Linked DNA regions of Macaca mulatta. The protein of the gene in region 1 interacts with the protein of each later gene in a biochemical or structural test. Links are inferred from orthologs where the notes say so. Each region holds a gene or a part of one and is shown in the gene's direction. Other genes may lie near its edges.

What was found. The genes of interacting proteins can lie anywhere in the genome.
Region 2: the proteins of PTEN (region 1) and RPL38 form a complex in vitro, tested with the Homo sapiens proteins (2 studies listed by BioGRID). The link is inferred for Macaca mulatta from reciprocal best matches to the Homo sapiens genes PTEN and RPL38.

Annotation. Positions count from the first base shown.
Region 1 is NC_133414.1:100,034,663-100,038,173, forward strand, and holds part of PTEN (phosphatidylinositol 3,4,5-trisphosphate 3-phosphatase and dual-specificity protein phosphatase PTEN), read left to right. Parts: intron 1-2,015; coding exon 2,016-2,240; intron 2,241-3,511. UniProt on the Homo sapiens protein: Dual-specificity protein phosphatase, dephosphorylating tyrosine-, serine- and threonine-phosphorylated proteins.
Region 2 is NC_133421.1:83,872,135-83,876,108, forward strand, and holds the start of RPL38 (large ribosomal subunit protein eL38), read left to right. Parts: upstream 1-1,172; 5' UTR 1,173-1,240; exon of another isoform or gene 1,241-1,265; intron 1,266-1,411; 5' UTR 1,412-1,449; coding exon 1,450-1,452; intron 1,453-1,622; coding exon 1,623-1,683; intron 1,684-2,739; exon of another isoform or gene 2,740-3,645; intron 3,646-3,974.

The DNA of each region.
Region 1 (3,511 bases):
GAGGCTGAGGCAGGCAGATCACCTGAGGTCAGGTGTTCGAGACCAGCCTGGTCAACATAGTAAAACCCCGTCTCTACTAAAAATACAAAAAAATTAGCCGGGTATGGTGGCAGGTGCCTGTTATCCCAGCTACTCAGGAGGATTGAGGCGGGAGAATTGCTTGAACCCAAGAGGTGGAGGTTGCATGAGCCAAGAATGCACTGTTGCACTCCAGCCTGGGCAACAAGAGTGAAACTCTGTCTCAAAGAAAAAGGAAAAAAAAAAACCAAAAACCAACTGTCTTCATTTAAAATATTAAATGTGTATATTTAAAGTGAGACTAAGGTGCAACATTTTTAGATAGTAATGAAGAAAAGCAGTAAATTTGTATTGTTGCTGCCTTGTTAAACATACTAGATAGCATATTGCTAATCTTTAAACATTCTCAATAATAGGATATATTTAGTTGTTCTGATTTTTAGCTTTTCTTTTGAAAGAAAATAAGAGGAAGTTTCATTTACTGCACAATTTTAAATGCTGCTTTGACGTATCAGAAGAAATATAATTTCCTTTATCCAGAATCCAAGTAGCTGGAAAAAAAAATCAAAATGTACTGAACATCTTTTTTTAAACCAGAAACCCATTTCCTATCATCTGTACAAGTAAAAGTTAAATATATCTCAATAACTTTGAAAAATTATTTTTTGATAATCCAGGAAGTATTAACAACTGTTTTAAAATTAAGATAACTAGTAATTTTTATTTTGCTTTCAAAAATAGGCACCTACATCATCATCTCTGCATACCTTTAGGAATTTACTAATTCTTATTTCCCTTCATCTGCACTTTAACACATGCAAAATTGAAGGTTAATATCTTATGATTTACTTGTTTATCCTTGACTACACAAATTTCCATTTTATTGATTTTCCCTGCCTTATTTAAGAATATGCTGTGATTAAAACAGACAAAAAGTTTTAGTATAATCCATATATATATATGGAATTCACCTTTTTGTTATTTAAATATTATTAGCTTATTTTCTTCTAATTCTAAGTAAAATACAGTTACTGGCTGAAATAATTGAAATAAGCAAAAAAAAATTTAAAGACTTGTAAACAAAGTTACTTTGTCAGGTACTGCTAAAAGATGCAATAAAATTTAAGACATAATATCCTTAAAGATCTTATTTTCTAGGGGGAAAAAAACTTTTAAGGTAAATTAGAATAAAAGATTTAAATGGCATTTTAAGGTACCAATAAGATGACACAAGGCTGTACATCATTAATTGCCAAATTATTTATGCAGGCCAGATTTCTGTGTTGGTCAATAGAGGTTTAAAGTGATGAACTTCTGTTGTGGTTTTTTATTAAGAAAGTATTATCTTATTAGAAGTGATTTTTTTAAGAACAGGCATTTTATAACATCAAAAGAAATCAGTAGTACTCTTCCCTATCCCCTCATATTTATTCTGAAAGTATTGAAGCATTATATTGTCATGTAAGAAAGTAGAGCTTCTCATGTTTGTATTGCTGTAGAAGTAAACATGTATTTGTGGTGTGTCATCAGGGAAGTTGCACTCTCCTTCTAAGAACTTTTGTTAAAGTAAATCTTGGAATAGGTAGCTCATTTGAAAAGTAGAAGAAATTAAGTCCATCTCTGAATTTTGTTTTTATATGTATGTACACATAAACTAAAAACATATTTAAAGCTAGTATTAGACTAGAAAAGAGGTTTTTTTACTTAAAAATTTAAGACAAAAGTAATTTATCTTAGATCTTGTGAGATTGTAGTTTTGGTTTAAAATTTGAGTGCCGAAAAATCATGTGAATGAAAATGCAACAGATAACTCAGATTGCCTTATAATAGTCTTTGTGTTTACCTTTATTCAAAATATCAAATGATAGTTTATTTTGTTGACATTTTGGCAAATGTTTAACGCAGGTGACATATTTTCTTTTTTAAAAAAATAAAACATCATTAATTAAAATATGTCATTTCATTTCTTTTTCTTTTTTTTTTTTTTTTTTTTTTAGGACAAAATGTTTCACTTTTGGGTAAATACATTCTTCATACCAGGACCAGAGGAAACCTCAGAAAAAGTAGAAAATGGAAGTCTATGTGATCAAGAAATTGATAGCATTTGCAGTATAGAGCGTGCAGATAATGACAAGGAATATCTAGTACTTACTTTAACAAAAAATGATCTTGACAAAGCAAATAAAGACAAAGCCAACCGATACTTTTCTCCAAATTTTAAGGTCAGTTAAATTAAACATTTTGTGGGGGTTGGTGACTTGTATGTGTGTGATGTGTGTTTAATTCTAGGAGTACAGCTGATGAAGAACTTGCTTGACAAGTTTTTAAATTATGTATTATTTAGAAGCTGTGTTTACATAGCAGTAACATGAAAGTTTCTAATAAAATACCCAATGTACATGGAGTCAAAAAAGCTGCAGTTTTCCTTTTCCCAATTCTTTGTTGTTGTTTGGTAAAATCTGGTGCAAAGGTGCGGGAGGGGGCTAAATGACTGGGATATGAAGTAGGAATGGGAGAGGAAAGAAATGGATGGAAACTCAGTCATTTGGGAATGATTGATATGGAATGTTTTTACTGCTTCCACTCCTGTCTCCCTTCCAATTTATTCTCAACCCCTCAGAGTGATCTTAAAAATAGACTTGATTGTGTCACTTCTGTTTACACTTTATAAAGACCTTGTGTTTTTTTTTTTTTTTTTACCATGACCTGCAAGGACCATCATAATTTAGCACAGGCCTACCTCCTACATCAGCACTAATCACCTTCTCTCTTTGCTTCTTGAGATTCAGTCATACTGGTCTCTTTTCAGTTCTTCAAAATGCTAAGCTTCTGCTTCTAGTCGTTCCAGTTCTTTTCCTTCTCCCGGTACCTTTTCATCTCAGCCTTTTCCCCCGACCTTCTCATAGCTATCTTCATATTTCCAGCCTTAGCTTCAATCTCATATTCTCTGAAGGTCTCTGATTGTCCTCCTGTTATTCTTTTTTTAAAAAATCCTATTTCCTTATATTGTGTCTTACAATTATTTGGTTTGTTTCATTTTTGTGTATATATGATATATGTATTTATACATAGGTATATATATCTACTTATAGACAATAATTGTTCAGATTTAAAAAATCTGATTTGTAAACATTCCCAAATGGTTTGCCTTTTTTTTCTTCCCCTTTCCTATTTCTTGTTCTACCTGATTTTCCCCTGTTCATTCACCACACTCTTTTCTTTCTCTTTTTTACTCTCTCTTAATTTGTCATTCAATTTTTATAACATGTAACAAATCTAACTGTAGCTTCTGAGTTTTTAAGAATATTGCTAGTAATACTTCACCTGTAATCCCAGCACTTTGGGAGGCTAAGGCAGGCAGAGCACTTGAGGCTAGGAGTTTAAGACCAGCCAGGCCAATATGGCGAAACCCTGTCTGCACTAAAAATACAAAAATTAGCTGGGCGTGGTGTCACACACCTGTAATCCCAGCACTTGGGAGGCTGAGGCACAA
Region 2 (3,974 bases), on another chromosome or scaffold:
TCGCGGCAAAGTGCTCTTTCTCTTCAGGAGGGCTGCTCTGTAATAATAAGCACGAAGCAATTACATTCTGCCATGTGGTTATTAAATTTGGGGGAAACAAATATAATAAAATGTAGACATTTGTAGAGAGGTTGGAAATAAAATAAAAGTGGAGGATAAAAATAAAATCGATAACCACACGTTGCTAAGAGCCTAACCTGAAGGATGTTATGGGGGAGAAAGGAAGGCTGCCCTCCCCAAACTGCCCAAGCCTCCCCAAGAAGTGGCTGGTGCCTGGACTGGGGAATCTGCCCAGCAGGGGTTCAAGTCCTGAGTCCACCTCTCCCCTCTGGGGTGGTGGTGAGAGCTGGCAACAGCAGGAGAACTCCCACTGCTGCACCATCAGCCCTAGAGGTGAGACACTTAGCCAGGGGCAGCCCTGCCACAGCTGTTGGAAGTATTATTATTATTTTTGCTAGAGATGGGTGTGGGGGGGGGCCTTACTAGGTTGCCCAGGCTGGTCTCGAACTCCTGGCCTCAAGCGATCCACCGGCCTCGGCCTCCCCTAATGCTGGGGTTATAGGCGTGAGCCACCGCGCCCGGCCTTAACTTGCTTTCATTGTACACCAATTCCTAAAGGAACTGGAAGCAGCAGGCAGGAACGCTCCCTCTTACGGAAAGAAGATCCCAGGGCCCTGGTCATGACAGGTTCAGGTCCCAAAAAGGAGACTGGAAGAAGAAAACGTGAGGCGCCAGAACAAGAGGTTCTACAAGGTGCACACGACGGTCTCTGCCATTAAATGAAGAATTCTCTGTGCAGATGTCCCGTGCACAGGTCCAGTGAAAGCCGTGGAGAATAAGCGTTAGCTCTTCGAACTGAATCTGAACTAAAACCCAGCAAAGCCAGGCTAGGGTTGGGAGGTTGCGAGGGAAGACAGGAAGTGTGGATGGGGAAGAGGCGGGGGTCATAGAAGGAAGAGATGGGGAGCAGTGGGAGGAGGGAGTCGGAGGGAGGGCGGCAGCCAGGATGGTCCCTTCCATTCTTGGAGCTGCACTGTTGACCTCGACCACGAGGGGGCAGGGCTGCTGAAATTGGAAGTGCCAACGCCTACATGAGTCTTGACCCTCGGCAGGCACCGTATCCAGTTTCCTCCGTTGGGAGGGTTTAACTGCCCGGAAACGGAAGTCTCGTTCTTTTTCGTTCTTTTACTAGGTCGCTGCTGGCTGTGAGTGTCTCTAGAGTGGTACGCGGGTGAGAAGGGTAATCTGGGGCAATCCACGGCCAGGTGAAATCTGGGGACCCCAGGTCCACGTGGAGGGTGTCGGGGAGGAAAAGGGAGTGCGATGGGGGCGATATTTCGGGGGAGGGCGGGAAAGCGGGGTTGACTGCCATCCCCCGCGCCGTGTTAACGCCAAGGACTGTTTCCTGCAGGTCCCGGTCCGCGCCAGCTCCCTGCGCGCCTTGTCGCCATGGTGAGTACGGTCCCTGCCTGGCGCCTTCCCGGTGTGGGTTCGTGGGATCCGGGGCGAGGGCGAGAGAGCCTCCCCAGGGCCTCCGGAGGCCGGGAGGAGCTGGTGGACTGGACCGTCACCGGAAGACGTGTCTCTTTGCTGTCTGTTTACCCGCTTCCTTTGTGTTGCAGCCTCGGAAAATTGAGGAAATCAAGGACTTTCTGCTCACAGCCCGACGAAAGGATGCCAAATGTAAGTGGTTGCTCCGAAGGTTCAAGATGACCGGTGCCTACCCTGCCACCGCTCCGGTAGCGTCTTCCCCGGAATGGCTGGCAGGAGGCGGGTTAGGCTGTCTGGGCGTGTGCCTGGCCCTCTGGGACCAGTGGTTACATCGTATTTCCCATGAGAAAGACCTGTGTGGGGCACGTTGAGGCCCTGGAATTCTAGAACCATCTTAGCTAATCGCGAGCATCTCAGAGGCTGCCCAGAGTTCAGTTTTCTTTTGTATAATACATCAAATTTCTGCAGTTGTGCAAAATCTTAACACAAAACCCATTTTGTAATGAAGTGCTGGATACTTGCATGTAATGTGTTGAGCACGGCACACTGTGCAATATAGTCGTTTATATCGTGATCCTGTGGTCGATGGCCAGTGTCAGAAAGTGTCATACTTATCTAGCCCAGAAAAAGATTTTTTAAAAAAATTTTTTTCTTTTTTTTTTTTTGAGACAGTATGGCTCTGTGGCCCAGGCTGGATTGCAGTGGTGCGATCTTGGCTCACTGCAGTTGCCGCCTCCCACGTTCAAGCGATTCCCCTGCCTCAGTGTAGCTGGGATTACAGGCACGCGCCACCGCGCCTAGCTAATTTTTTGTGTTTTTAGTAGTGACGGTGTTTAACCACGTTGGCCAGGCTGGTCTCGAACTCCTAACCTCAGGTGATCCACCTGCCTCCACCTCCCAGAGTGCTGGGCTTACAGGCGTGAGCCACTGCGCCCAGCCAAGATCAAAGTTTGAAGCAGGGCTTCTACTGAATGCACATCGCATTCCCACCATTGTAAAGTCACAAAGGTTGAGTTGGACTGTGGTGAGGCTGTCTCCCAGCTTGTACATACAGGGGAAAGAAGGTGATTCATGAAAATCCTTGAACAGCAGATTTTCGATGGATAGGTGCCAATCTCTGCTACCCACTTACAGTTTTACACCAAGTGTGAGAGAGGTAGTTGTGTTATCCCTTTGTGATACTTGAAGATTTGGGGGCTTGTGTTTTTGTGTTTCATAGGTCTTGAGTTATGTTGTTACTTTAACCCAGAGTCATATTTTTTCAGCTGTATGAAAGAGAATCAGGTCACATGTGGAAGTGGGGTTGCATGGGACAGGCCTGTTAAGGTGGGCGAAGACACCAGCTAATGCTCCGTGCCCCAGTGATGGTGCCAGATGGTGGTTGGTGTACAGGGAGAGCCTTTCAGTGAGTTGGGGGTAGGCAGGGATGGGGGTCATATTTGTGTCCCCATTACCCAAAACAGGCTGTCACCTTTGAGGTGGTGACCACCTGTGGGAACAAATAGCATCTGGTGGGAATGATGTCTGTTTGCCAGTGTTTTGTATAAAGAGATGAGGTTATCAGGTTAGTTTTATTTCAGGCCATATGGGGTCGCTGCCTAGTTCAAAGCCCAACTCTACCAGTAGATAACTTACCCTTCTGAGCAAGTTAAACATGACACCACCCTTTGCTTGTGTTTAAAAAGGGTGGTGGTCCAGGCGTGATGGCTCATGCCTATAATTCCAGCACTTTGGGAGGCCAAAGCGGGCAGATCGTTTGAACCAAGAGTTCAAGACCAATCTGGGCAACATGGCAAAACCCCATTTCTACCAAAAATTTAAAAATTAACCGGTCATGGTGGCACACGCCTGCAGTCCCAGCTACTCAGGAGGCTGAGGCAGGAGAATCAGTTGGACCTGGGAGGTGGAGGTTGCAGTGAGCTGAGATCGTCCCACTGCACTCCATCCTGGGTGACAGAGCGAGACTGTCTCTCACAAAAAATTGGGAACCTGGATTTTAGATGATGCAGCTTTAAAGGTAGGGGTCACAGTCCCCTAGAGATAGTAAAGTGTCAGTAGCTGTTGAAAAAACTTTTGAAATTGTTATATTAATTTTTAATGTGTAATAGGCGTAGCATAAAATTCACCATTTACACTGGGTATGGTGGTTCCCATCTGTAATCCCAGCACTTTGGGAGGCTGAGGCAGATGGATGAGACTAGCCTGGGCATCATAGTGAGACCCTGTCTTTACAAAAGAAAAAAGTTAGCCAGGCATGTGCCTGTGGTCTTAGCTACTCAGGAGGCTGAGGTAGCGATTGCTTGAACCCAGGAGATTGAGGCTGCAGTGGGCCGTGATTATGCTGCTGCACTCCTGGCTGGACCACAAAGCATAATTGTACAGTTCAGTGGCATTCAGTAAATTCACATTGTTGGGAAGCTGCCACCATCACCACCCATCTCCAGAACTTTTATCTTCCCAAACTGAAACTCCCTCTGTTAAAC